Linked DNA regions of Stegostoma tigrinum. The main gene of each other region encodes a partner of the protein of the gene in region 2 in a complex. Links are inferred from orthologs where the notes say so. Each region holds a gene or a part of one and is shown on either strand. Other genes may lie near its edges.

Region 1 (7,987 bases), on a different chromosome or scaffold from region 2:
TATTAGAGGTAGGTAAAATTTAGAAAAAATGAAAGCAATTAGAATGGGGACTTGAAGAGGTGCAAATTAATTTAGAAGAACCCACTTGGATTTTAAAAGGCAGGATGTAGTTGACTAATAGGCCTTCTTACCCTGAAGTCATGAGACAGGATGAAGGGAAAGCAAAGAACATTGCCAAAGTGATGTTTAGAAAAGTTTGACATCATACTACGTTAAACAGGCTGGGTAATAAAACTGAGGTTCATAAAATGAGGATCAGTGTCAGGGTAGATTAAAAAAACGGGTGCTATGGTTAAGTTGTTTATAGACTGGAAAGTCAGTACTACAGCCAATTTTTGTTTGATATATAGATATAATACAGTATTAATGCCACAGTTATTAAGGGCATGCAGAAACAGAGGGAACTGGCAACTCATCTGCATAGATCCTTGAAGATGACAGTACAAACAGCAATTAGGAAAGTATACATCATGAGCTTTAGGAAGTAGACAAATTGGGTACAAAAGCAGGGAACTTGTAGTAAATCCTTATAAATCTTTATAAACCGCTGGGCTATATGCTAGTGTGGAAATATGAATTCTGAAAATGCTGAGAAACAAGTGGAAGGTGGATGTCAAACTGTTGTAAAAGCTCAGATCAGGGTTTGGCTAATTGCAAGCTGAGAGAAATATCAAGTTTTGAGAAGATTTGTAGCTCAGGTTGAGGTTCTGGATGTGAGTTTGCTCGCTGAGCTGGAAGGTTAGTTTTCAGACGTTTCATCACCAAACATCACCAGTGAGCCTCCGACGAAGCGCTGGTGTTATGTAAATAGAAAGCGGGACATAACACCAGCGCTTCGTCGGAGGCTCACTGATGATGTTTGGTGATGAAACGTCTGAAAACTAACCTTCCAGCTCAGCGAGCAAACTCACATTTAGAGAAATATTTTTGTTTGTCGATCTCCATAACAAGACATCAAAGATAAGAACTACTACGTTGTGTTGACTACGTTAAAAAAAATCTCCTACGCAATAAACAAATGGCAGTGTGCAAGCAACATGTAACTTAATGAAATACTAATGGGTATTGAGGTTGGTTGTATCGCTGAGCTGGTTAGTTGTTCCTCAGATGTTTCGTTACCCTGCTGGGTAATATCATCCATGGTCATGGACAGGACCAATGTCATCTAGAAGATCCCCTGCAGAGACTGTGAGAAACACTATATTGGACAAACAGGAAGGAAACTAACAACAAGAGTATACGAACACCAAGTGGCTACTAAAAGACATGACAAATACTCACTCATCTCAATCCACTTTCAACTGGAAGAACATCAAAATCCTGGGACAAACTAAGCAGAGACAGGTGTGGGAATTCCTAGAAGCCTGGTACTCCACGAAGAAAGCCATCAATTAACACACAGAACTTGACCCCATATATACTCCACTACAAAGGAAAACCTGAAGTAAGGCAATCCAGCTCAATGGACTCCAGAGTTTAAAAACCAGGCGGGAAAACACACCAACACTTCATCGGAGGTTGCACTGACGATGTTACCCAGTAGGGTAATGAAACGTCTACGGAGCAACAAACCAGCTCAGCGAGCCAACCAACCGCAACACCCACAACCCGAGCTGCAAATCTACTCCAAAACCTTGGAGATACTAATGGGTAATAATGAAATTATCATAAAGTAATCAGGTTGGTGAAGTCAATGGTAAAATCATCAGAAACTTAATGTAGCACCAGGCTAGACATAAAAGGGTACAAGAAGTGTCCTGATCCTCAACACAATTAAGAGAAGATAATAGTCAACAGACACACAGGGCAAGAAGAATATAGCAAACGCCAACCAACAAGTCCAAAGAAGATGTCAATAGGAACAGATGGTAACAACTAAGTAAACACCATTTTGTCATGTTACTTATATTTCTACCAAACATACATACTACTGCTTATGCCAAATACCTCTGACATGCAGTGTTCATATTTATTATAATAAAAAGGTTCCAAACATTATTTTGAACTCAAAAGACCTAAACTGGAGCACTACATCTAATTTTGGTCACAGTGCCTGCAGAAGAACATGAGGGCCCACAGAAGGGTGCAGTAAAGATTTAACAGAATCAATCACTGGATCTTTAATCCTAGCTGGAGAATCTGGTGGTTTGCCTCGTTGAAGCAAAAGAGATCATGGGATGTCTAACAGATGTAGAATGCCAGGTTTAGATAAAACTCAGGTATTTCCATTATTTGATTGCACAAGGACAACAGTGCACAGATTGAAGATTTTGCATAGGAGATTCAAAGGGCAAGAAACTCTACTAATGAGGGTATTGGAAACTGATACAGTTAATGATTTCAAAAGACAAATGGAAACTCTGTTAAAGGGAAATAGATTTGTGGGGTTACAAGGATAAAACAAGAAAATAGAACTGACAGGTTTGCTCTAAGAGAGCTATGAAGAACTCATTATACCAAATGATCTCTATTATGATGCACCCATCAATTAACAGACCGAGGAAGGGCAATATCCGAAACGTTGACTGTTCCTTTCCTCCAAATGCTGCCTGGCCTGCTGTGTTCTTCCAGACTCCCGCTTGTCTAACCACTTAACAGACTGCACTGAGACACAGTAGACCACAGATTACATTCCAGCGTTAGGAACTGCTGCAAACAATGTTCACTGTACCGAATCGGATCAATGGTTAAGATCATTAGATGCTGATGATTTAGGGGAAACTGACAGCCCAAGGCTTGGGGGGAAGAGAATAGTGGAAAGAAGAAGAGTCCCTTCTATGGTGGGAGGGGGCAGATTGGCCGGGGGGCGGGGATAGATGAGAAATGGAAATTAGAAGAGAGTATTTCTCTGGGAAAGAAGGCTTTTCTTTCCCCATAGCAAAGCCCGGGCCTGAAGCACAGCTCGAAACTCACTCTGGGATCCTTCATCGAAGCGGTCAAACTCCCAGTCCCGGGCCTGAACATCCAACGCCATCTTTACATCCCGTGACCAGACCCAGGCAAGTCCCGCAACTGCACGCACTGCGCCAGCGCTCAGCCCCAATGCCCTCTGGGAGATGTAGTTTTCAGGTGAAAGGTAACAGGCTTAATTTTCTGAGATAATGGGAACTGCAGATGCTGGAGATTCCAAGATAATAAAATGTGAGGCTGGATGAACACAGCAGGCCAAGCAGCATCTCAGGAGCACAAAAGCTGACGTTTCGGGCCTAGACCCTTCATCAGAGAGGGGGATGGGGGGAGGGAACTGGAATAAATAGGGAGAGAGGGGGAGGCGGACCGAAGATGGAGAGCAAAGAAGATAGGTGGAGAGGGTGTAGGTGGGGAGGTAGGGAGGGGATAGGTCAGTCCAGGGAAGACGGACAGGTCAAGGAGGTGGGATGAGGTTAGTAGGTAGCTGGGGGTGGGAGGAAGGGATGGGTGAGAGGAAGAACCGGTTAGGGAGGCAGAGACAGGTTGGACTGGTTTTGGGATGCAGTGGGTGGGGGGGGAGAGCTGGGCTGGTTGTGTGGTGCAGTGGGGGGAGGGGATGAACTGGGCTGGTTTAGGGATGCAGTGGGGGAAGGGGAGATTTTGAAACTGGTGAAGTCCACATTGATACCATATGGCTGCAGGGTTCCCAGGCGGAATATGAGTTGCTGTTCCTGCAACCTTCGGGTGGCATCATTGTGGCAGTGCAGGAGGCCCATGATGGACATGTCATCAAGAGAATGGGAGGGGGAGTGGAAATGGTTTGCGACTGGGAGGTGCAGTTGTTTGTTGCGAACTGAGCGGAGGTGTTCTGCAAAGCGGTCCCCAAGCCTCCGCTTGGTTTCCCCAATTAATTTTCTGGCCTGTGAACTTAAATCAAAACTAACTTGAAACCTGAACTGTGTTTCTCCCTCCACAGATACTTTAGGATCTGCTCAATTTCTTTTTAGCACTTTCTGCTTTTATCTCTGTGTGAATGTGTTGGGGCAGGAGGCCGGATTCGGTTAGGAATTAAAAACCTGATTATAAAACTGCTTCATTTGCTGTTTGAGATGTCCAGTATTTCTGAGAGGTACTATATAAATGCAATGTTCAATCATGCTTTAAACGTAGTTAAAGACCCTTTGGGCCATGATGCCTGTGCTGACTCTAAGCTTATTCCACCATTTGCGAATACTAGTGAATATGATTGGTGAACTATAAGCACGTACAGCATTTTGAAATCTGAAAATTATCCTGCAATGAAGAATCTACTGATGACCATGAAGCCATTGTCGATTGTCAGAAAAAACTATTTGGCTCACTAATGTCCGTCAGGGAAGGAAATCTGCCATTCTCACCTGGTGTCACCGACATGTGACCCCAGAACCACAGCAATGTGGTTCACTCTCAACTGCTCTCTGAAATGGCCGAGCAAGCCACTCTGTTGTATCAGTCACTGCAAAGTCTCAACAAAGAAATGAAACTGGCTGGACCACATGGCATTGACTGAGGCACTGGAATAGACAACAACAGAAACAGCCCTGTAAACCCGGCAAAGTTCTCCTTACTAACATTTTAGCCTAATGCCAAAATTGGGAGTGTTGTCTCACAGCCTAGTCAAGCAGCAGCCTGACCTAATCATACTCATTGAATCATATATCATAAGACAATATCCTGGACATCAACATCATGAACAAAATAAAAACAGAAAATGCTAGAAACACTCCGTAGGCCTGGCATCATCTGTGGAGAGAGAGCAGAGTTAATGTTTCACATCCAGTGACCCTTAGAAGACGTCACTGTCTTCTTAGAACAATCCCATCACCATCTTTGGACGTGTCCTGTCCCACTGGTAGGACAGGTGGTGGCACAGTGGCATGCAATAGGGAAGGAGTTTTTCTGGGTCCCCTCAACATTGACTGCAGACCCCATGAAATCTCTTGGCTTCAGGTTAAACATTAGCAAGGAAACCTCCTGTTGGTTACCAGGTACTGTCCTCCCTCAGCTGATGAATCAGTACTCCTCATTGTTGAACAACACTTGGAGGAAGCACTGAGGCTAGCATGGGCGCAAAATATGGGTGATTTCAACGTACACCCCCAAGGGTGGCTTGGCACCTGCACTCTGGTTAAGCTTGTTTTTTATTCATTTGTGGGATGGGGGCATCACTGGCTTATGAGCATTTATTGCCCTTCCTAGTTGCTCTTGAAAAGATGACGTCTTCTCGTACTGCTGCAGTCCATGTGCTGCAGATAGAGTCCACAATGCTGCTTGGGTTCTAAAGGATACAGCTGTTATACTGGGTCTGCAGAAAGTGGTGAGAGAACCAAAAAGAGCAAAAAACTTACTGTAAAATTAGGGAGGCAACAGCCTAGTGGTATTATAGCTGGACTGTTAATCCAGAGACCCAAGTAATGCTCTGGGGACTCAGGTTTTGAATTCTGCCCTGGCCAATCTGGAATTAAGCATCTAATGAATTTATGAATCCTTGCTGATTGTTGGAAAAAAAACTATGTTTTAGGGAAGGAAACTGCAATCCTTACCTGCTCTGGTCTACACGTGACTCTAGACAGACAGCAATATGGCTGCCCTCTGGGATGGCCAATAAATGATGGCCTGGCCAGCAATGCTCTCACCCCTTAAATAAACAAACAAAAATATATTTAAACTCATCCTTACCAATCTACTCGCTGCAGATGCATTTGTCCATAGCAGTATTAGTAAGAGTGTCCACTGAACATTCATTGTGGAGACAAAGTCCTTACTTCACAATGAGAAAAATCTCCTTCGTGTTGTGTCGCACTATCATTGTGCTAAATGAGACAGACTTTGAACAGATTTATCAGTTCAAAACTGGGCAATTGAAGAGGTGCTGTGAGCCATCGACAGCAACAGAAATTGTACTTCAGCATAATCTGCAACCTCCTGGCCCAGCATATTCCCCACTCAACCAATACTATCAGGCCAGGTGACCAAGCCTCAGGGCCTTGATTGGGTTTTTTGAAGAGGTGACCAAGAAGATAGATGAAGGCAGAGTGGTAGATGTGGTTTATGTGGACCTTAGCAAGACCTTTGACCTGGTTTCACATCATAGACTGGTTAAGAAGGTTATATCACAAAAGATTCAGGCGAGAGTTAACCAATTGGATACAAAACTGGCTCAACAGAAAGAGGTAGAGGTTGGTGGCAGAGGGCTGTTGTTCAGACTGGAGGCCTGTGAACACTGGTGTGCCGCAAAGAGCAGCGCTGGGTGCACTGTTGTTCATCATTTATATACACATTTTGGATGAGAATGTAGGAGGCATAGTTAGTAACTTTGCAGATAATGCCAAAATTGGTGGTATAGTGGACAGTGAAGAAGATGATCAAACAGAACAATGGGATCTTGCTTAACTCAGCCAGTGGGCCAAAGAATGGCAGATGGAGTTTAATTTAGATAAATGTGAGATGTTATATTCTGGTAAGACAAACCAGGCAGGACCTACACAGTTAATAGAAAGGCTCTGGGCAGTGTTGTTAAACAGGGAGACCTTGGGGTGCAGAGACATAGTTCCTTGAAAATGGCATCACAGGTAGACAGGGTGTGAAGAAGGCATTTGGCACGCTTGCCTTCATTGGTCAGAGCATTGAGTGCAAGAATTGGGATGTCATACTACAGTTGTACAAGGCATTAATGTGGCCACACTTTGAGTACTGCATACAATTTTGATCACCTTGCTATAGAAAGGATGTCATAAAAATGGAAAGAGTGTGAAGAAGATTTCTGAAAATGTTACTGAAACTGCAAGGTTTGAGTTATAAGGAAAGGTTGGATAAGCTGGCACTTTTTCGTGGAGCATTGAAGGCTGAGCCATTATCTTATAGAAGTTTATAAAATCATGAGGGGCATAGACAAGATGAATAACAAAGGTTGTTTTTCCCCCAGACTGGGGGAGTTCAAAACCAGAGGGCGTAGGTTTAAGGTAAGAAAGATTTAAAACCGATCGAGAGGCAACCTTTTCACATGGAGAGTGGTGTGTATATGGAAGAAGCTGCCAGAGGAAGTGGTAGAGGCAAGTACAATTATAGTATTTTAAAGACATTTGGACAGTGACATGAATAGGAAAGATTTAGAGGTATATGGGATATGTGGGGGCACATGGAATTAGTTTAGTTTAGGAAATCTGGGCATCATGGACATGTTGAGCTGTGTGACTATGAATCTAACCCTGGTTCAATGGAGAGTGCAAGACGGCATGCCAGGAGCAGCACCAGGCATACCTGAAGATGAGGTGCCAAACTGGTGAAGCTACCAAGCAGGACACTTGTATGCCAAGCTGCATAAACAGCAAGTGATGAACAGAGCTAATTAATCACACAATCAAGGGACCAGATTTAAACTCTGCAGTTCCGCCACATCCAGTTGTGAATGATGGTGAACAATTAACAACTCACTAGAACATCAGCCTTCCCAAATATCCCTATCCTCAATGATGGTACAGCCCAAAACATCAGTGCAAAAGTTAAGGCTGAAGCATTTGCAGCAGTCTTCAGCCAGAAATGCTAAGTGGATGATCCTCCAATGGTCCTCAGGACTTTAGATGCCAGTCTTCAGCCAATTTGATTCACTCCATGTGATTTCAAGAAATGGTTGGAGGCACTGGATACTGCAAAGACTATGGGCCCTGACAACATCCTAGCAATAGTCCTGAACATTTGTGCTTCAGCAATTGCTGTTCCCCTAGCCAGGCTCTTCCAGTGCAGTTACAACACCGGCATCTACACAAAATTGCCCAGACACATCCTATGCACAAAAAAAGGACAAATCTAACTTGTCCAATCACTCATCACTCTACCTCTCGATAATCAGCAAAGTGATGGAAGGTGTCATCAACCGTGCTATCAAGCAGCACCAGCTCATCAACAACATCCTTATTGTTGCCCAGTTTGGGTTCCGCCAGTGCCACTCAACTCCTGACCTTATTGCAGTCTTGGTTCAAACATAGACACAAGAGCTGAATTCCAAAGATGAGCTAAGAGTGATAACTCAAATCAAGAC
Region 2 (7,985 bases):
GCATCATCCTCCGACACTTCCGCCATCTACAATCCGATCCCACTACAAAAGACATTTTTCCACTCCCACCCTTGTCTGCCTTCTGGAGAGACCACTCTCTGTGCGACTCCCTTGTCCGCTCCACACACCCCTCCAACCCCACCACACACGGCACTTTCCCCTGCAACCGCAGGAAGTGTTACACTTGCCCCCACATCTCCTCCCTCACCCCCATCCCAGGCCCCAAGATGACTTTCCATATTAAGCAGATGTTCACCTGCACATCTGCCAATGTGGTATACTGCATCCACTGTACCCATTGTGGCTTCCTCTACATTGGGGAAACCAAGCGGAGGTTTGGGGACCGCTTTGCAGAACACCTACGCTCGGTTCGCAATAAACAACTGCACCTCCCAGTTACAAACCATTGTAACTCCCTCTCCCATTCTATAGACGACATGTCCATCCTGGGCCTCCTGCAGTGCCATAATGATGCCACCCGAAGTTTGCAGGAACAGCAACTCATATTCCGCTTGGGAACCCTGCAGACCAATAGTATCAATGTGGATTTCACCAGCTTCAAAATCTCCCCTCCTCCCACTGCATCTCAAAACCAGCTCGTCCCCGCCTCCCTAACCTGTTCTTCCTCTCACCTGTCCCCTCCTCCCACCTCAAGCCGCACCTCCATTTTCTACCTACTAACCTCATCCCTCCCCCTTGACCTGTCTGTCCTCCACAGACTGACCTATCCCCTCCCAACCTCCCCACCCATACTCTCCTCTCCACCTATCTTCTCCTCTATCCATCTACGGTCCGCCTCCCCCTCTCTCCCTATTTATTTCAGAATCCTCTCCCCATCCCCCTTTTCTGATGAAGGGTCAAGGCTCAAAACGTCAGCTTTTGTGCTTCTAAGATGCTGCTTGGCCTGCTGTGTCCCTTCTGTTCTTATCCTGTTCATAAGTGGGAACTGATTCTCCATACCCACACTGTCCAGACAACTCATCATTTTGAAAACTTGTATCAGATTTCCTCTTTGCCTTCTCGTGTCTGTGAAAACAGTCCCAATTTCTCTAAACTTTCCTCATAACTTAAATGTCTCATCCCTGAAATCTCTCTGTATTCTCTCCAATGCACTTATATCCTTTCCACAGTACGGTGCCCAGAACTGTCCACAGTACTCTATCTAAGGTTAGCTCTGTCTTATTTAAGGTAATAATAACCACAATGCACTTGTATTTTATACCTTTAGTTATGAAGATTAGAAAATTTTATGCTTTAATAACAGCTTTCTTCACCTGTCCTGCCACCTTTAATGACTTATGTACATATACACCCCTGACTCACTACTTCTGCAAACCCTGCAGTGAATTTTATTTTTTGCAGTCTCATTTTTCCATTTTTTTTGTATTTAAGAGCGTCACCCCAGACTTCTCCATAATTGAACTGTATCTGCCAAATTCTTGTCCACTCCACCAAATTGTCAAGGTCCTTTTGAAGTTGTATGTTGTGTTCTTCACCGTTTCTCAATTCTGCCAAGCTTTGCATCATCTGAAAACTTCAAAATTATTTTCTGTACAGGTATATCAGGAAACATCATGGAGATCTCTACTATAAACCTTCTTCTAGACAAAAAATGCCATTAACCATTACTCAGGCAGCGAGTTTTGAGAAGATTTGTAGCTCAGGTTGAGTTTCTGGATGTGAGTTTGCTCGCTGAGCTGGAAGGTTAGTTTTCAGACGTTTTGTCACCATTCTAGGAAGCTTCATCGGAGGCTCACTGATGATGTTACCTAGAATGGTGATGAACTGTCTGAAAACTAACCTTCCAGCTCAGCGAGCAAACTCACATCCATTACTCAGACAATTTAATATCCACATCGTTACTGTACCTTTGATTTCATAACTGATGACATTCCCCACAAGTGTATTGACTTTTGAAAGTCCATGTACACAACATCAACAGCTTTCCCCTAATAAATCCTTTCCTTTATCCCTTCAAAAATCTCCAAAGGGTTAGCAAGATGTGATTTTCTCTTAGCAAATCCATGCTGTTCCTTCTAAATTAATCCACATTTTTCCATGGGAATATAAATTCTATCTGAAGAATCATTTCTCCAAGTTTCTCCATCACCACAGTTACTGACCAGTCTATAATTGTCACCATAAAATTACAATCATTTTTTGAGAAGGATGGAATATTTGCAATTTTTCAATCATCTGGCGTAACTGTCAAATCCAGAGACACTGAAAGATAATCACCAGTGCCTCTGTAATTTTCACCCTCAGTGCCTTCAACATCCTTGGATGCATCAATCTACTCTAAGTAGCAATAGCTCATCCAATACTTCTCGTAACTGAGTTTCTTCCTTTGTCAGCATGTCCAGGGCAGCATAGACCTCATAGATAAAGACGTGCAAATTGTTTATTTAACACCTCAGCTATGCCCCTCACCTCTAAGTATAAATCTTCTAATTGGTGCCGAAGCAGCCCTAGGTGTCCTTTTACTAACCTTTTAGTGTTACTATGTTTACAGAGAACATTTGGGATTTCCTTTAATGTTTGCTGCCAGACCTTTTTTCATAATCCTTATCTTCTTGTATTTGCTTTTCCACTTCCCTCTGAAACTCCCGTATTAGTTTGGCTCTCAATTGTATTTACTACCCGAAACCTATCATAATCACAATTTTTCGTCTTTAATTTAATTTCTATCTCTTTTCTCATTCAAGGAGCTCTGGATTTGTTTCTCCTGCCTTTTCCTTTTTAAGGAATATACCTTGACTGGAATTAAACCATCTCTTTTTTACAGGAGAATAATGAGACTCCAGCTACCCTTATGTAGTTATTAATTTGTGAACATTAAATATTGGCAAGTTCCTAACTTTGTCTTTTAGCATATTTTTCTTTATGGAAAGCCTTTTATTAGCTGCTTACAATCATTGAACGACAACTTGATGGGCTGTTTCTGGGTGTATCAATTACATCATAATGTTCCTTGAACATTGTAAGGATGTGCTATATACAGTTGATTTCTTCTAATAAAATGGGGTAATATCCACTCTGCCTGAAGTTTTGGTGTGTATGCTTGAGCCCTGTGATCTCTTTCATGAATGATTGAATATCTGTTCATAGCTTCACAATCTGAGGCTTCAAAAATGGCAGTCACTTCACTGTCTGTGGAAAAACTTGAAGTTTCTCTTGTATTCTTTTCTGATTGAACTACAATAAGTTGCTAATCTTTTAAGTGTTTTATGGGTGTAGGCAAAATTTCCAAATTGCTGTATGCAGTCCAACATCCCCGATCTCTTAGTCCTTAAAGCGTACTTGTGGTGGATGCTCAGCATCAAGGGAAACTGCAAACTTGGCATGTGCCACCCATCAAAAACCCAGTCGTGGAAGCCCAACTGTGCTACTATTAATGCCCTATCGCAACCAGATGAGTCTTAGGCAGAAGGTTTCAGCAGACCTCGTGAGGTTTTTCAGTACGTTCCAGTCAGAGAATGAACAATTAACTGCAGAAAACGTTTTGTAAGAATCGGAGTAACTTCACACTTAGAAAAGAAACTCATGAAAAGGGAACAGAAATCTTTGCAGCAGACTGCAATAGAGAAGAAAGCCTTTGTCAATAACAGAGAACATGTAAATGAATGGTGATCTTTTGAAGAAATAAATGGAAAGAAAGTGCAGCTGTTAAGCCCTCAGCATCTTAATAGTCTAAATATTCAGCTGAGATTAACTCTAGTAGGTGGGTGATACATTCTGAATGTCCTACTGGCCTCCGATCTTGTATGAAACATGAAGACCTCAGTGCTACTCAGGAACCTCATGGATCTCGTTTCAGAGATTTATTTCCATTCTTCAGGAATGTTCTCACTTATAGAGTTGCAGCCTGATGCTGAAGCAAGAGTTCACCTGATACCAGTGCCAACAGAAAGTGAAATTGCTATCCTTGGAGAAACAGGAAAGTTCCCTTATCTTCACAATTTTATTTTCAGATTGCTCTTAGTTCTTCCTTTCATTCACCAGATTTATTCCTGGCTTGAAGTGTGACATGCACAGACAGGAGAGGGAGATTTTCAATTTTTTTTTCCTTTGTGGAGTTAGGATAATTTGACTACTATATCACACTTGAAGATCATTTGATTTGTTTTAACACTCTTGATAACTTAGTGTGTGAAGACAGCACTTCGTGTAGCTGTAAGTGTGCTCATTAGCTCTCATAGTTGGGTGCTTATCCACTCTGTTTCAGGAAGAGGCAACATTAGCTTAGACTCTCATACCTCATCAAGATCCAGTGACCTGTGTATAAACATTGGGAGAGGGCAGGACTGGGAAATATTGTCTTTGTTGTTGATCACGTGACTGACTACTGCCTAACCTCACACATGAAAAAAACTTGAAGAAGGAGGCTCTGATGTCCTATTGTAGCATTTAATGCCTTCAGGACAGAAAAGGCCGAGTCAGGAAGAGAAATGAATTTTCCACAATTCCAATTTGTTGCACTGGTGATGACAATGACAAACTTCCCACAATTTCAGTACTCAAATTTCCGAAATGACTCTCTCAATTATTCAGTAACGCATAAAGTGATTGTTTTCGATGTTGTCAAAGGCAGATGCCTTGTACTGGTCCTTGCTATGTTGCATTTATATTAGTGATTTCAAAGGTGAAAATTGTTGTTGTACCAGTCCTTTTTTCAAAGATCAATTCCAAGAGCATTTGTTGCACCACCCACAGAATTTTGTGCAAACCACAGCTTAGATTTGGCAAAAATTAAATGAGATCAACCTTTAAAATACTCTCCAAAGGAAGAAGACTCAAAGTTAATTTTCGGTCTTTTTTAACGAGTTATGTCCAGATTATAAACAAAAGGAAAAGGGCACTTTTTGCGTGGTTTTGGATGATAAGTGGGTGTTGCTTAACTGATTCACAAACGACAAACCTGACGCTGAGGACCTGCCGGCTTGCTCAACATCACTGGACTGCGCCTGGTGGTCACATGTTGAGTTGACAGGAAGGAAATCATATGATCAACATGGAAGAACTGGGCTGAACAGCGTCTGTGGGAACCCTGGTAAAAGCGGTGTGGAAGCATTCCTCCCCTGTATTGTACCAGTGCGAAAGATGCGGCGGGTCAGCAGCGCAGACTGAGTGACTCCGTCCCTGGGTTTATATCGTCCCTTTCTGCTCGCTGCCGCTGGGAAAGGCTGCAGACAGAAGGGGAAGCATGATAACAGAGTTGGTGCAATAAATCTAGAGGTATCCGGCTCTTCTGCCTCAGTTGCTGCTGCCGACCCCCCCGCAGGGCTGTGGGAGATTTTCCCCCTTCCACCATGGTAGACTTCTTGGCAGAGAACAATCTCTGTGGGCAGGCAATTCTCAGGATCGTGTCCCGCGGTAATGCCATCATAGCAGAACTTTTGAGACTGTCCGAGTTTATCCCGACCGTTTACAGACTCCGAGACAAGGCCGAACAGCAGAAGTATGGAGACATCATCTGCGACTTCAGTTACTTCAAGGTGAGAATTGTTGAGTCTTCAGTATCCTCGGATATGCTGTTGGTATCTGCTGGAAAACGATCAGATTAGAGGTTCATTACAAAGCTTATGTTTGCCCACTGATATTAACGTGACGGATTTAATGTTTTACACAGTTGCCACCCATCAGGCTTTTTAAGATTCACCAAATCTTCATTGACTCCCAAACCTGGAAGCAGTAATCTTTATAACTAGAGTACAGCAATGACAGAGATCACAGGCAGGCATTAAAATGGAAGAAAAATACAGGGAGCAAAATTTAACGTTGAATTGTCATCATTGAAAATCATGTGGGTGAAATATTAATCACATTTGACTCCCTGTGTATAAAAAATCTCGTGCACTTCCTGCCCAAAAACTGTACTTCCTGTTGTCACTATGTTTAGTTTTATTTTTCAATGACAGTGTATGTTACTACATCACCATTTCCCTCTCTCCCCCCCCCCCCCCCCCCCAATTCAGTTTTAAAGCTTTAATTGGTGTATTGTAAGGTCCAGCAATTATGAGATCATTGGTCGATAGGTATTGGCTACATCACTGAGAACTCTGCATGATTTTGAAGGAAAGGAGGAATGAAATATTTTCGTGTGCAAAATTTGGGGCATTTTATCTGAAAAGTACTCAGTAAAAACAGACTCAACTAGTTGTTACAAGATAATAAAATGTGAGGCTGGATGAACACAGCAGGCCAAGCAGCATCTCAGGAGCACTAAAGCTGACGTTTCGGGCCTAGACCCTTCATCAGGCCCGAAACGTCAGCTTTTGTGCTCCTGAGATGCTGCTTGGCCTGCTGTGTTCATCCAGCCTCACATTTTATTATCTTGGAATTCTCCAGCATCTGCAGTTCCCATTATCTCTCTCAACTAGTTGTTGTCTTGTGTATCAAAACAGAGTGTTTGCTCCTGATGCAGTAGTTGGGGTACTGCCATTAAAATGGCCACTGATCCTGTCCATATATGAGCATTTGCACTCAGACATCAAGCCATTAGTGACATATGCCTGCGATGTGAAGGCTGTCTAGCTGTTGGTGCACTTTCAAAAAGTGATGCATTTTAAAAGAGTGCAAATTGCATTTGCTGTATCTTTGAAACCATTATCTCTGAAAAGAATATGGACCTTTTAAAGTCAATGATATGCTGTAAAGTGCAGATTGATTTCTGCACAAATAAAAAGAAATGTCTTCTGCCAAAAATTAAACAAAAGTGCTGATGTTGGGTATTTATTTTTGTAATCAACTTCTCAGATCATATTGCAACACACTTCCAGAGCAAGTGGGATTTGAACCTGGATCTACCAGGCTTTTGGACTATAAACTCAATAGTGGGCTGTGGGGTTCAGGGGTTCAGTTGCATGGAAAATTATGGAAAACATTAAGTGTGGAGGGATCCTCAGCAGAAGTTAAGAAAGCTTCCAGAACAAGTAATAGAACAGAGTATGGAAAGGGATAATGGGAACTGCAGATGCTGGAGAATTCCAAGATAATAAAATGTGAGGCTGGATGAACACAGCAGGCCAAGCAGCATCTCGGGAGCACAAAAGCTGACGTTTCGGGCCTAGACCCTTCATCAGAGAGGGGGATGGGGAGAGGGAACTGGAATAAATAGGGAGAGGGGGGAGGCGGACTGAAGATGGAGAGTAAAGAAGATAGGTGGAGAGAGTATAGGTAGGGAGGAGATAGGTAAGTCCAGGGAAGACGGCAGGTCAAGGAGGTGGGATGAGGTTAGTAGGTGGATGGCAGCCTAATGGTATCAATGTGGACTTCACCAGTTTCAAGATGTCCCCTTCCCCAACTGCATCCCTAAACCAGCCCAGTTCGTCCCCTCCCCCCACTGCACCACACAACCAGCCCAGCTCTCCCCCCCCCCCCCCCCCGCCCCCCCGACCCCCCGACCCACTGCATCCCAAAACCAGTCCAACCTGTCTCTGCCTCCCTAACCAGTTCTTCCTCTCACCCACCCCAAGCCGCACCCCCATCCACCTACTAACCTCATCCCACCTCCTTGACCTGTCCGTGTTCCCTGGACTGACCTATCCCCTCCCTACCTCCCCACCTATACTCTCTCCGCCTATCTTCTTTACTCTCCATCTTCAGTCTGCCTCCCCCTCTCTCCCTATTTATTCCAGTTCCCTCTCCCCATCCCCATCTCTGATGAAGGGCCTAGGCCCGAAACGTCAGCTTTTGTGCTCCTGAGATGCTGCTTGGCCTGCTGTGTTCATCCAGCCTCACAGTTTATTATCTCAGTGTATGGAAAGGGTCAGGCAACTAATTTCAGGTACAGCGGATAAGGGTGGTTAATGCAGGACTGAGGGTGTTGTATTTAAGTGCATGAGGTATAAGAAGTTAGCTAAATGAACTTGTAACGCAGATTGAAATTGGCATGTGCGATGCTGTGGGTATCACAGATGTGGTTGCAAGGGATCAGAACTGGAACTAAATATCCAAGGATATGAGTCCTCTCGAAAGGACACCCA
Region 3 (7,000 bases), on a different chromosome or scaffold from region 2:
TTTTTTTTAAAGAGGTAATGGCATGGGTGGATGACCATGTGATGTACACGCACTTCCAGAAGGATACGATATCACACAACAAGCTTATGAGCAAAGTTAGAACTCGTGGAATAAAATGGACATTAGCAACCTGAATCAAATCAGCAGAGTGACAGGAAGCAGAGAGTACAGTAATGGTTAATAGATAATAGATGGGCTAGGAAATAACTTGTAATGGAGTTTCCCAAGCATCAGAGTTGGAATGCTTTAATTTCCTAACATTTACAAACAATCTGGACCTTGGTGTGATGGGGACGATTTCAAAATCTACCCATGAGACAAGCAGTTTAAATTGTGAGGACAGCATGCAACTTCAAAAGGGTATGGGCAAGTTGGTGGAGTGGCCAGAAAGAAGGCAGCTAACCTTCACTATGGAGAAGTGTGATGTGACACATTTTGAATAATAAAGATAATGGAGAAACAATATAAAATACAGGGCACAACTGTAAAGTGGGAGCAGAAGCTCAGGAATCTGTGTGCACATACAAATAAATCATTAGAATTTGCAGGACAGGCTGAGGGCCTGGTGAACAATGCGTACAGTATATCAAGTGTTATTTATAAGGATGTAGACTATGAGAGCAGCACTGTTACATTGAACCTATATAAGTCACTAAACATTGTTGAAAGGATACACAAAGATGAAGCTTTTTGCATTCATCAGAACCACGACACAGAAAAAGACTTGAGCCAGGGGACAGAGACAAGACAGTGTGGGATAACAAAGTGCGGAGCTGGGTGAACACAGCAGGTAAAAGGGTCTTGACCTGAAGCATCATTTTTCCTGCCCCTCCAATGCTGCCTGGCCTGCTGTGTTCCTCCAGCTCCATGCTGTGTGCTCTCTGACTCCAGCAGTTGCAGTTCTTGCTTTCTCTGATTGAACCAGGATACACTATTTATACAGCATGCAAAGAGGGTGCTGGTTGGTTTTCTGGTAGATATGCATGCCCTTGTCCACGAACCTGTTGTTTAAAAGAGGATGGAGTTATCTTTGGGGCCCAGTCAACAGTTATCCCTTAGTCAATATTAAAGTAAAAACAGCTTACCTGGTCAGTATCATATTGCTGTTTGTGGCAGCTTCCTGAGCACATATTGGCTGCTGCATTTCCTGCAGTAAATAGTGACCACTTCAAAAAGCATTCAAAGTTATAAAGTGCTTTGAGGTGCCTTCTGGTCATGACTGTTACTTAAATGCAAATAATATGGGACATTTGAAGGAGTAGTCTATAGGCCTCTTGACAGTAGCTATACATTGGAACACAGAACAAATCAGGAGATAATGAGGGCATGTTAAAAAGGCAGTATGTTAATCATGAGTGACTTTAATCTTCATGTCGATTGGGATAGTCAGATTGGCAGACGCAACCACAGAAAAAGCTTATATGGCATATTTAGGACAGTTTGCTGGAGCAATGTATTGTGGATCCAACCAGGCATCAGGCTTTTTTGGTCTGGTTATTGTCAAAAAGGCAGGTTTAATAAATGATGTCAAAGTAAAAGGTCCCCTTGGAAAAGGTCCCATATCATGGCAGAATTTAACATTCAGTTTGAGAGGGAGGAACTTGGGTTAAAAACAACTGAACTGAACTTAAATAAGGGCAATTTAAAAGAATGGGGGCAAGCTGGCTTGATTGAACTGAGAAAAGAGTCAAACAGAAGAGGCGAGTGAGCAACAAGAGCAGATGTTAAAGAAAATAGTTCATGGTTCATGACAAAGATACATCTAAGTGTGGATGAAAGTCTCTAGGAATGAGATAAGCCCAATCTTGCCTAACCAAGGAAGCTAAGGATAGCATCAAACTGAAAGGAAAAACATACAACATGGCACCACTTAGTGATCAGCCAGGGGATTGGGAATAAAAAGTAAAGGTGGAGAAGATAAACTTTGAGTGTAAACTTGCTTGTAATATCAAATGGGCAGCAAGAGCATCTCTAAATATATGAAAAGGAAGGGACATGCCAAAGTTAACATTGACCCTTTGGAGAATGAGGCTGAAGAAATAACAATAGGCAACCAGATGAGAAGGGTTGAATAGGTACTTGCATCAGTCTTCATGACAGAAGGCATGAATAACATTCCAAAATTACTAAATTAGCAAGGGGGAAAGGGGGAGAGGAAATAAATACACTAAATATGACAAGAAAAATAGCAAGAAAACTAATGGGGCTAAAGATCAACAAGTCACTTGGACCTGATGGGAGACATCCTAGGATATTAAAAGAAGTAGCTACAGGAATAGTGGTCACACAGGTAGCAATCTTCCAAGAAACCTTAGATTCTGGAAAAGTCCCAGAGGATTGGGAAACTGCCATTGGAACAGCTTAACTTAAAATGAGAATGAGGCAAAAATGGGTAACTATAGGCTAGTTAGCTTGTAACATGACTTTGGAAGAAAGAATAGTGGAGCTGAATATTAGTGAAATGGTGAAAGAAGACAGGAAGCTACAGAACGGAGGAATTTGGGATTTCTAGAGCATAAATCAGAATAATACAGCATCTAAGTTCAGTAGGTAATCAGGAAGATAAATGGAATGATGGCCTTTATTTCAAAGGTAATCGAATATAAAAATAGGGAACTCTTGCTAAAACAACTGTCATCAGACAACAGTTGAGGAATATTGTAACTATTTTTGGGCTCCTTATATAAGAAAGCATATATTTGCATTGGAGGCTGTCAAGTGAACAGATGCCGGCTACAGAGGGCCTGTCTTGAGGAGAGGCTGAGTTGGCCTGTACTCATTGGAGTTTAGAAGAATGATAGGCAACCTTATTGCAACATACAAGATTCTTTAGGGATTAAACAAGCATAGAAGGTTGCTTCCCCTACTAAAAGAGTCCAAGGCCAGAGGACATAATCTTAAAGTATGGCTTCTCCCAGTTAGGATGAAGATGAGAAATTTATTCTCTCAAGGGGTATTCTATCAATCTGTGGAATTCTTTACCTTTGGCTATTGAGGCTGGAGGATTAACTACATTCGAAGCTTAGACAGTCAGATTTTTAATTAGTAAGGGAATCAAGGGCTATGGGGAGAAGGCAGGAAAGTGGAGTTGAGAATTATCGGATCAGCCAAGATGTCATTTAATGGCAGAGCAGTTTGCATGAACTGAATGGCCTATTTCTGCTCCTCTGACTTTTGGTTTTAGTGTTATTCTACCCAGTTTGCAGTTCGAGTGTGCAATCACAGGGAATAACTGAAAAGACAACCACATAATCATCCATGAGAGAGACACAGGGTCTAACTTCGTAAAATTAAATGAAGTGCTATTACTTCTTTACTGAAGTACTTTACAAGATAATGTATGGCTAAGAAAGGGTGGACGCTGGGAAGTCATTTCCGTTAGGCAGGGAGACTAGGATCCGTGGGCACAGCCTCAGAATTAGAGGAGGTAAATTTAAAACGGAAATGAGGAGACATTTCTTCAGCCAGAGAGTGGTGGGCCTGTGGAATTCATTGCCACGGAGCGCAGTGGAAGCCGGGACGTTGGATGTCTTCAAAGTGGAGATTGATAAATTCTTGATCTCACAAGGAATTAAGGGCTACGGGGAGATTGCAGGGAAGTGGAGTTGAAATGCGAAGCAGCCATGATTTAAATGGCAGAGTGGACTTGACAGGCCGAATAGCCTTACTTCCACTCCTATGTCTTATGGTCTTATGGCTATTAGTGTGCAGGATATAAACACACCAGGTTTTGTCTTGTTGGATAACAAGATGTAGAGCTGCACAAACACAGCAAGCCAAGCAGCATCAGTGGATCAGGGAGGCTGATGTTTCGGGCCTAGACCCATTTTGTCTTGCGGCGCAGTAATAACGTCACCACCTCTGAGCCAAAGGATTTTCATTCAATGTTGATGACAAGGAATCACAAACATCCGGGGGCGGAGCTTGCGGTGGTGGGTGGGGTTTGTTCGTGGTTGGGCGGGGTTTATTTGTGTGTTGCTGGGCTGGGCTGAGCTGGTTGGGCCCGTGCTGGAGAAAATATGCATGCGCCTATGTCGTAGCAATGCGCAAGCGTAGATGCCTGCTTGTGGTCGTTAGAGCTCGAAACTTTGTGTTATGAAGTAGGATGTTTGTGTTTGAATAGTGAAGAATGAAAATGTGATGATAGAGTATTAGAAGACGGCGTTGGCGTTAATTAATTAGTTTTTTTATTCGGGAGAGTCCAGCAAGTAATGGTTAGTATGCACATGCGCAAACCTCGGGTGTGAAGTACGCATGCGTGGGCACAGGCCTCCTGACAAGGAAAATGCAACAGTTTGTTCCTTTAAATGGAAACTGCTTTCATCGTCGACAGCGATTGGGATGAGTTTTACATCATCTACGGAGACTGGAACACAGCTTCAGTCATCTACAGATACTGGGGTGAGAGCGAGCTGTTTACAGTTTCAATCATCTACCGGATACCAGTAACCCCTGGCGTTCATGGACGTTAAGCACTTCTTTCTGACCAACACATCCGCTGTCTATTTCCTCAATCTCAAGTATCGTGAAAACACTTTCAGTTGTCGCTAAGTGGTGATGTTATTAAGCCAGAACTTTCAAAAGTTGATTGGGCGCAGACGTTCACAGATAAAAGGACAGCTGTAAATGGGAAGCCTTCACAATTTAGGTAATGGGAGTCTAGGGAAAGTAGGTTCTTGTTGGAGTGAAGGGCAAGGCTGGTTGATGTAGGGAATGCTGGTTGATTGGAGAAATTGAGATTCTGATTATGAAAAAGAAGGAAGCATTTATCAGGTACAGACAGCAGGCATTAAGTGAGTCCCTAGAGGAATGTAAAAGCAGTAGAATTATACTTGAGGGAAATCGTGAGGGCAAAAAGAGGACATAGCTTTGGCAAGCAGGGTTATGGAGAATGCATAGCATTTCTACAAACACATTACAGACAAAAGAGTAACTAGAGAGCAAATGGGCTTCTTAAAGATCAGCAATGTTTTGTGTGGAACTGCAGATGGGTGAGATACTGAACAAGAATTTTGCCAGAAGTCACTTGACACTGGGTTATAGTCCAACAGGTTTATTTGAAATCACAAGCTTTCAGAGTGTTGCTCCTTTGTCAGGTAAAGTGGAGGGAAGCACACAAGCACAGAATTTATAAGGAGGTAATTAAGAGTATCAAAAGATAAATACAAGTAGTGTAAGTGAAGGGATGACCTATGATCTGATTGATAATTACAAAAAAATCAAAATTAGGATAGTGCTGGAGACAAACTAAATGACTGGAATAACATGATAGATATAAGACTTGCATTGCAAGGGTTTAACCAGGGTAACAATTAATCCAAAATTGTATAAATTAATTAAGGTTGAGATCATAACAAGTTATCAAGGTGATGGTGCCAAAACAGAATGGTAAGGAAGATTATACACAGATTAGAATGGTAGGATTACATGTAGTGCAACATGAACCCAAGATCATGATTGAGGTTGTCCTCATGGTTGAGGAACTTGGATATTGGTTTCTACTCTGACTCTGCATTGTTATGTACATTGAAGGCTGCTTTGGAGGACATTTACCTGAAGTTTTTTTATTCTTGTGGGATGTGGATGTTGCTGGCTGGCCAGCATTTCTTGCCTGTCCCTGGTTGCCCTTGAGAAGGTGGTGGTGAGCTGCCTTTTTGAACTGCTGCAGTCCTCCTGCTGTGGGTTGACCCGCAATGCTATTAGGGAGGGAATTCCAGGTTTTTGACTGAGTGACAGTGAAGGAACGGTGATATATTTCCAACTCAGGATGGTGAGTGACTTGGATGTGATGGTGTTCCCATATATCTTCTGCCTATGCCCTTTTAGATGGGAACTGGTCTTGGAAGATGCTGTCTGAGTATCTTTGAAGATCAGAGGCTGAGTGTGTCCTTGATTATTTTGTATCAATGTTTACTGTGGAGAAGGATGTGGAAGCTAGAGAACGTGTGGAAACTGTCCATATTACGGAGGAGGTGCTCCTGGATGCCTGAAAATGCGTAAAGGTGGATAAATATTAGGGATAGATCAGGTGTATCCTAGAAATTTGTGGGAAGCTAGGGAAGTTATTTGCTGAACCCCTTGCTGAGATGTTTGTACCATTAATAGCCACGGATGTGGTGCCAGAAGACTGGAAGTTGGCTAACGTTGCGCTAGTGTTTAAGAAAGGCAGCAAGGAAAAGCCAGGGACCTATACATTAGTGAGCCTGACAACAGTGGTGGGCAAGTTGTTGGAGGGGGTTCTGAGGGATAGGATTTACATGTATTTGGAAAAGCAAGGACTAATTTAAGATAATCAGCATGGCTTTGTGTGTGGGGAAATTGTGTCTTACTAACTTGATGAAGCTTGAAGAGGATGAATGAAGCCAGACTGGTGGACATTGACCATCTTACTGAAGTCCATATAAACAATGAGATTCCGCGTGGTAGACTAATAACAAGGTTAGGTCATGTGGAATACAGTGAGAACTGGCTATTTGGATACAAAATTGTCTCAAAGGCAGGAGACAGAGGGTGGTGGTGGATGGTTGCTTTTTAGACTGGAGGCCTGTGACTAGCAGTGTGCCGCAGGAATTGATGCTGGGCCCAATGCTTTTTGTCATTTATACAAATGATTTGGATGTGAACCTAGGAGGTATAGTTAGTAAATTTTCAGATGACACCAAAATTGCTGTAGTGGACAGTAAAGGTTACCTCAGAGTACAACAGAACCTTGATCAAATGAGCTAAAGGGTGGCAGATATATTTTAAGTTTGACAAAGGTGAGGTGCTGTGCTTTGGAAAGGCATATCAGGGCAGGACTTGTACATCTTAATGGTAGGGTCCTGGGGAATGTTGCTAAACATATAGACCTTGGGATGCAGGATTGTAGTCCCTTGAAAGTGGAGTTGCAGACAGACAGGGTACTGAAGAGCGCAGTTGGTTCACTCGACACTATTGGTCAGTGCATTGAGTACGGGAGTTTGGAGGTCATGTGGCTGTACAGGACATTGGTTAGGCCTCT
Region 4 (7,625 bases), on a different chromosome or scaffold from region 2:
GAACTGCACAAAGTACTCCAGGTATTGGATTAGAACGAAGCTCTGCAGTCCATATCCAGTTATGAATTGTGGTGGACAATTAAATAAATCAATGGAGGAGGCTCAACAATTATCCCCATCGTCAATTATGGGAGAACCCAGCATATCAGTATAAAAGTGTCGCAACAATCTTCAGCCAGAAGTGCTGAATGAATGATCCATCTCAGCCTCCTCCAAAGCTGTGGCATTGCAGATACCAGACTTCAGCTAATTCAATTTACTCCTCATGATATCAAGTATTGGTTAGAGACAGTAAATGCTGCTAAGCCAATGGGCCCTGACAACTTTCCAGCAACAGTACTTAAGACATGTGCTCCAGAACTTGCCATACAACTAGCACTAACACTAGCATCTACCAAATGCAAATAAGAGATAATCTAACCATTCCCCTTGATATTCAATGGCAATAGATCACTAAATCCCCCACCGTCTACATCCTGGGGGTTACCATTGACCAGAAACTCAACTGGACTAGGCATATAAATACAGTAGCTATAAAAGGTGGTCAGAGGCTAGAAATACTGCAGTGAGTAACTCATCTCCTGACTCCCCAAAGCTTGTTCATTTTCTACAAGGTACAAGTCAGTAGTGTGATGAAATACTCCCCATTTGCCCGGATGAGTGCATCGCCAACAACACTGAAGAAGCTTGACACCACCCAGGACAAAGCAGCAGTTTGAGTGTAACCACATCCACAAACATCCACTCCCTCCAACACTGACACTGAGGAGGACCAGCGTATACTATCTACTAAATTTACTGCGGAAATTCACCAAAGATCCTTATACCGCACCTCCTAAATCCATGTCCACTTCCATCTAGAACAGAAGTTTTCCAAATGTGGAAAGGTGAGAAATGTGCCATGAAATTCTCGGGAAGCAGCACCCCTTCACATAGACTTCTGATACCTTGCATGTGCGGAAGGTGGGATATTCACTTCTTATGAAGCCTGGTTGCACAGGCAGATCCAAACATCTGGTCGGAGCATATGCAATGATTAAGGATTGTATCTCCAAGATGAGAAGAAATTGCATGTCCATAGTAAACAGTCACTTGTGTAATTGTTGAGCTGGACTACCTGCCTAGATATGTTTCCATTTTAGCACAGATTTTGAGGTGAATATGCTTCGAATTTGTTTTAGTTAAGCCACTAGTCCTAGTCTTAGAACACAGTTGAAGATGAAATGGATAATTTGTTGTATGCATTATCTTGCAAACCTGTCTAGTAAGGCTGTAACCAAAGTAAATGCAAGTAAATGTGACATTTATGAGCAATCAATTCAGCTGAAAAAAGTCGGTGTGCCATGGAATTTTTACATGTCTCATTGGAGTGTGCCATGTTATTGCAAGGGTTTGTAATCACTGATCTAGAAGGACAAGGGTAGCAGATACATGGAAACACCATGTGCAGGCTTCCTTTCAAGCCATGTGCCATCCTAACTTGGCAATATATCACCATTTCTTCAGTGTTGCTGAGTCAAATTTCTATACCTCCCTCCCTAACAGCATAATGGGCATATCTATAGCACATGGACTACAACTGTCCATGGCAGCTCAGCACCATCTCCTCAAGGTCTTACTCGGGAAAAGCAACAAATGCTGGTCAAGCCAGTGGCGCCCACATCCCACATGTGAATATTCACCAAGGTTCTATACAATTGTAGAAAGACATTGTAAACCTTGTAGTTAAATGCTGTTGCGATAAAGGCCGACATACCATTTGTTGTCTTAACTGAATTTTGTACCAGTATGTTAGCTTTCAGTAATTTGAATTGAATTGAATTAGCTTTATTGTCACGTACTCAGATAAGTACAGTGAGAAGTTTACAAATCACCACTTACAGTGCCATCTTAGGTACACAGTGCCTTGGTACAATTCTTAACAGAAATGAAGATAAAAAGTTACTTTAAAACTATACACCGTATAACTGTAGGTCAGAAAAACAAGAAGCTATTTAAAAAGACAAAGATCACAGTCTGTCTTCAAGGGCTTTCCACAACAAGAACAGCCAAGTCCTATCTATCCAGATTCTGCCGAGGTACAGAAAAAAAGTATGTACTGAATTGCCACCAGAGTAAAAAAAGGAAATAGGAAGTGCTCCAATGGAATGATTAATGGGACTATGAGGAAGGATATTGAAGGAGTTATTTTAGATTCATCAAAATGTTACCTGGGCTCCCATGGTTAAGAGCACAGATTATACAAACTAGACCTGTATTCCCTGGATTATAGAAAATTTAGGGATGATTTGACGGATTTTTCTTAGAAAGTTTATAAGAGTAGCTTGAGGAAATTGTTTAACAAGCACACAAAACGCTGGCAGAATTGTTCTTAAGAAGTCATATTGGACTCAGAACATTAACTGTTTCTCTCTCCACTCTATCAGACCAGTTGAGTTTCTCCAGCATTCCCTGTGTCTGTTTCTGATTTCCAGCATCTGCAATATTTTGTTTTAATTTGAAAGAAGAACATTTATTCTGCTGGTTTGATAGTCTAGGAGAAGGTGAAATAATGTTAATACATTTCATTTATTGAAATAGGGAGTTCAAGCAATGACTCCAAGATCCTATTCCACTTGGCAAATCAACTCTGTGGACACAAGGGTCACTTGTTACTTTTGTCTTTCCAGTAGGTGTCTTTCCCCACACATGCCCCTTCCCAGGACAGCAGATGTCATTGAGGGCAGGGATGATAATATAAAGATAACAAGGTGTAGAGCTGGATGAACACAGCGGGCCAAGCAGCATCAGAGGAGCAGGAAAGCTGATGTTTCGGGTTGAGACCCAGATTTCTGAAGAAGGGTCTTGACCCAAAACGTCAGCTTTCCTGCAGTGTTCACCCAGCTCTACACCTTGTCATCTCTGATTCTCCAGCATCGGCAGTTCCTACTACCTCATGATAATATTGAAACTTGATAGTTCACATGATATAAGTACACACTTCCTCCCGGATGGTAACTCTTAAGATTACCTCTCATGTTCCAACATACCAAGTTATGCAATTTAAAGTTTTCTCTCTTTGACCACCAAGATGGTAATCCCACGGGATTATGGTTCCCCTGCCAGGAGATAGTGGGTCAGCCTAATTTTAGGGTGTCTTTTCTAGCTCCCCTTCCCTTTTAGGGTGAACAGAAGGTATTCTGAAGGGAATTGTTCAGTCACAGATACTGTTGTCAATGACACCAACATAGGTGCCCAGTGACCTCCATCTCATGACAGCAGATTATTTTTCGTGTTCACAGCCCTGAACCTGTTGCCGAATTTCCATTGCCACAAGGCTTGGAAACCAGATTATGGTTAGCAAAAAACATTTTTGCTATGTTAGTATAGGGATCTTGGGGTGTTACCATTGTCCATGTGATTTTGACTGGTGTTTTTTAAAAGATTAGATTCCCTCCAGTGTGGAAACAGGCCCTTCAGCCTAACAAGTTCACACCACCCCTTGGAACCCACACATCCGTGAACACTACAGGCAATTTAGCATGGCCAATCCACCTAAGCCTGCGCATCTTTGGACTGTGGGAGGAAACCGCACAGAGGCTGGAATCGAACCCGGGTCCCTGGCGCTGTGAGGCTGTAGTGCAAACCACCGAGCCGTTTGTTGTCAGAGTTCAGTGATGTGTTGAACTGCTAACACCAGCACTGTCTCGCATCTGCAGCTTTTTCCACCATTACAATTCGTGTGATTTTTCTTCGCCTGTTCTGCCATAGAGGACGATTGTATCAGAGATAATGGGAACTGCAGATGCTGGAGAATCCAAGATAACAAAGTGTGAGGCTGGAAAAACACAGCAGGACAAGCAGCATCTCAGGAGCACAAAAGCTGACGTTTCGGGCCTAGACCCTTCATCCAGCTCCACACTTTATTATCTGCCATAGAGGACTGTTTGGACCGCACTTTGACGCCTCCGTCCCCAGCCTTGATGCCACGTCCCGACGGCATCGGTCAAAGAATCGGAGTGCAGAAACCTCTCCGCCATGTCAAAGTGACAAACACATCCCTCGGCACAATTTTTTTTAAATAAAAGCTTAGACGGCAAATAGCCACCGTTTATGTTCAAAGAGTCTGCATCTTTAACTGGTCAGATTGACAATCACGGGTTGGCGCCTGTGCTACGAGGAGGAATCGGGGGAACTGAGGAAACGCTGTGGGAAATATATAGAAATGAACAGGAGATGGTGGATTAACTGAGGTACTACAATCAGAAACAAGGACCTTTCTGAACTAAAACGAAGTTACTGGAAATACGCAGCAGGTCTGGCGATGTTGTCGTTTCTTTGCCCACCTCCTGCCTTCCCTGGAAGGCCTTTGGGTCCTAGTTTTCCCCCCAGGTCTGAAGGGAGGTCTCAGTGTGTGTGTCCCTCTCCCACAGGCGCTGCCAGACCTGCTGAGTTTCTCCAGCACCTTTGAAGACTGTTGTCAATCTGAACGTCACCGGGTGCTCTCTTCCTCCTGGTGATGAAATGGGGGTTTCTCCGGTGGGACACTAGGCCCGAGGCCTGGGGCCCGGTGACGGTGACACACTCGGCCCTGGCGGCCCCGGGTGATTGCGGTCACGCGCGTGCTCCCGCCCCTGCCCGTCGAAGCTTCCCTTCCGGGTCAGGGGGTCAGGAGCTGTTTCCGGGCGGAATGGACGCGGACGGACTCCCGTTGGTGGGATCAGGGATCGACCTGACCCGGGTGAGGGGGGAAAGACAGGGGATCCCTGGAGCTGTGCTTTCATCAGCGATAGTTTAAAAGTTAACTGAGAGCCTGTAACCCTTAAATCTTATCCTAACCTTCGACTTCCACCCATAAACCCTAGTCTTAACCTCTAACCGCAGCCTGAGTCCTTCCCCTACCTGACCTATAACCCCTTAAACTCAATTTAACCCTTTAATTCCCAGCCGTAACCCCTTAAACTCAATTTAAACCTTTAATCCCAGCCATAACCACTTAAACTCAATTTAACCCTTTAATTCCCAGCCAAAACCCCTTAAACTCAGTTTAACCTCTTGATCCCAACCCTAACCCCAACCATAACCCCTTAACAATAATCCTAACCCCCTTACATCCAATTTAACCCCTTTATCCCCACCATAACCCCTTAATTTCAACGTAAACCCCTAAACCGCAGCTTTAACACCTAATTCTGTTCTGTGCTGTACTGTTCTATGTTCTATGTTCTAATCCTTACCCACTAACCATAACCTGTAAATCCTAATGTCAGCATGTAATTATAACTTCTAAATACCTGTCAGCATGAATTTACAAAAGGGAAATCATGTTTGACAAATGTACGGGAATTCTTCAACGGATGTGACTAGTAGAGTTGATCAGGGGAGCTGGGATGTGGATTATTTGGATTTTCAGAGCCTTTCCGCAAAGTCCAATATAAGAAATTAATGTGTGAAGCTAAAACACATCAATCTGAGAGTAGTGTATTGAAAATTGGTTAGCAGACAGGAAACAAAGGGTGGAAATAAATGGTGGGATATTGGCAGGGATTGGTACTTGGACCCTCGCAATTCACATTAAATGTTAATGATTTAGATGAGGGAATTAAATGTAATATCTCAAACTTTGCAGATGACACAAAGAGGAAGGGTGAACTGTGAGGAAGATGTCAGAATGTGATTTGGTCAGGCTGTGAGTTGGTAAATGCATGGCAGATCATGTCATGTGGATAAATGTGAAGTTATATGCTTTAGTAGGAAAAATAGGAAGGCAGATTATTACAAGAATGACTAAATTGAGAGAGGAGAATGATCAACAAGCCCTGGGTGACCTTGTTCGCCAGGAGCTGAAAGCAAGCACACAGGTGCAGCAGAAGGTAAAGAAGACAAATGACCCTGTTGGCCTCAAAGCGAGAGGATTTGAGTACAGGAGCAGGAATGTCTCACTCTAGTTATACAGGGCCTTGGTAGGGCAGCATCTGGAATATTGTGTGTAGTTGTGGCCTCAATATCTGAGGGACAATGCAGTTGTTCTAGATATAGTGCAGTCAAGGCTCACTGAATTGATTCCTAGGATGGCAGGAAGATATATTAGGAGAGGTTGAGTCAGTTAGGATTGTATTCATTGGAATTCAGAAAAATGAGGGGGTAGATCTCATTGAAATCTGTAAAATTCAACAGGACTGGATGATTAAATGCTAGAAGGATGTTTCTGTTGTTGGAGTCCAGAACCAAGGGCCATATCTTAAGGATACAAGATAAACCTTTTAGTAGGTTAGGACAAATTTCACCCAGAGAGTGGTGAGCCCGTGGAATTTGCTAGCACAGCAAGTGGAAAACACTGTTTTCAAGAAAGAGGTAGGTAAAGCTCTTGTGGCTAAAAGGGTTAAGGGATGTTAACCATGATCATAATGATTGGCAGAGCAAGCTTGAGAGATCAAATGGTCAATTCCTGCTCCTACATTCTATGTATCTTAATACTTAATCCTTAGTTTTGATCCCGAAACTTTGATATGGATCCCCAACTGCAGCCCCAAACTCAGTCTGCAACTTTAATGTCTAGTCCACAACAAAAGCAGAAGATGGGGGAAAAGCTCAGCAGCTCAGGCAACTTATGTGAAGAAAAAATCAGAGTTAATGTTTTGGGTCTGGTGACCCTTTATTAGAACTGGTCCTGAAACATTAACTCCGATTCTTTTCACAGATACTGCCAGACCTGCTGAACTTTACCAGCAACTTCTGTTTTTGTTCCTGATTTACACCATCCGCAGTTCTTTTGGTTTGTATTTAATATCTAGTCTTTGGCTCAGAAATTGTGGTTTCTTTTAAAATTGTTTTTGAGGTCTAACTTTAGAGTGAATGGGTTTTTGAGCACAGCTAATGGATTTGTGTTTATCTTAGATTGTTTTATGATTAGCAAGATAAATAATGGATCTTCGAGTTTTGTTTGTGACTACTGGAACTTTTAGATTCGGTTTGACTATGAGTGAGGAAGCCCTGTGAAAGTGTTCAATAAGGATGGTGGTTAGGTCCAGTGATTTTGAGAAGGGAAAGTTATCATGAACTAGCTTATCTCAGAGTGAAGAGTCAGTGTCAGTCCCAGACCAGAAGTGTTAGATAAAACCCTGAAGGGATTTCTAAAAGCTGAATATGTATAAATCATAGAACATAGAACATTACAGGCCCTCGATGTTGCGCCAACCTGTCAAACCAATCAGAAGCCCATCTAACCTACACGATTCCATTATCATCCGTACGTTTATCCAATGACCATTTAAATGCCCTTAAACTTGGCGAGTCTGCTACTGCTTCAGGCAGGGCATTCCATTGCCCTTACTACTGTCTGAGTAAAGAACCTACCTCTGACACCTGTTGTATATCTATCTCCTCTCAATTTAAAGCTATGTCCCCTCATGCTAGCCATCACCATCTGAGAAAAAAGGCTCTCACTGTCCACCCTATCGAATCCTCTGATCATCAGGCGTATAATATCTCCAGGAAGAAGTTATAAGACCATAAGACATTTCCTCAGCCAGAGAGTGGTGGGCCTGTGGAATTCATTGCCACGGAGCGCAGTGGAGGCCGGGACATTAAATGTCTTCTAGGCAGAGATCGATAAATTCTTGATCTCGCAAGGAATCAAGGGCTAC

What was found.
Region 1: washc5 (region 2) and washc4 share a complex: the UniProt entries of both Homo sapiens proteins name them as parts of the WASH core complex. The link is inferred for Stegostoma tigrinum from reciprocal best matches to the Homo sapiens genes WASHC5 and WASHC4.
Region 3: washc5 (region 2) and wash1 share a complex: the UniProt entries of both Homo sapiens proteins name them as parts of the WASH core complex. The link is inferred for Stegostoma tigrinum from reciprocal best matches to the Homo sapiens genes WASHC5 and WASHC1.
Region 4: washc5 (region 2) and washc3 share a complex: the UniProt entries of both Homo sapiens proteins name them as parts of the WASH core complex. The link is inferred for Stegostoma tigrinum from reciprocal best matches to the Homo sapiens genes WASHC5 and WASHC3.

Annotation. Positions count from the first base shown.
Region 1 is NC_081378.1:53,491,668-53,499,654, forward strand, and holds the start of washc4 (WASH complex subunit 4), read right to left. Parts: upstream 3,002-7,987; 5' UTR 2,975-3,001; coding exon 2,914-2,974; intron 1-2,913. UniProt on the Homo sapiens protein: Acts as a component of the WASH core complex that functions as a nucleation-promoting factor (NPF) at the surface of endosomes, where it recruits and activates the Arp2/3 complex to induce actin polymerization, playing a key role in the fission of tubules that serve as transport intermediates during endosome sorting.
Region 2 is NC_081358.1:47,566,350-47,574,334, forward strand, and holds the start of washc5 (WASH complex subunit 5), read left to right. Parts: upstream 1-4,983; 5' UTR 4,984-5,309; coding exon 5,310-5,495; intron 5,496-7,985. UniProt on the Homo sapiens protein: Acts as a component of the WASH core complex that functions as a nucleation-promoting factor (NPF) at the surface of endosomes, where it recruits and activates the Arp2/3 complex to induce actin polymerization, playing a key role in the fission of tubules that serve as transport intermediates during endosome sorting.
Region 3 is NC_081371.1:25,519,416-25,526,415, reverse strand, and holds the start of wash1 (WASH complex subunit 1), read left to right. Parts: upstream 1-3,982; 5' UTR 3,983-4,214; intron 4,215-4,220; exon of another isoform or gene 4,221-4,401; intron 4,402-7,000. UniProt on the Homo sapiens protein: Acts as a component of the WASH core complex that functions as a nucleation-promoting factor (NPF) at the surface of endosomes, where it recruits and activates the Arp2/3 complex to induce actin polymerization, playing a key role in the fission of tubules that serve as transport intermediates during endosome sorting.
Region 4 is NC_081371.1:60,015,468-60,023,092, reverse strand, and holds the start of washc3 (WASH complex subunit 3), read left to right. Parts: upstream 1-4,625; 5' UTR 4,626-4,669; coding exon 4,670-4,720; intron 4,721-7,625. UniProt on the Homo sapiens protein: Acts as a component of the WASH core complex that functions as a nucleation-promoting factor (NPF) at the surface of endosomes, where it recruits and activates the Arp2/3 complex to induce actin polymerization, playing a key role in the fission of tubules that serve as transport intermediates during endosome sorting.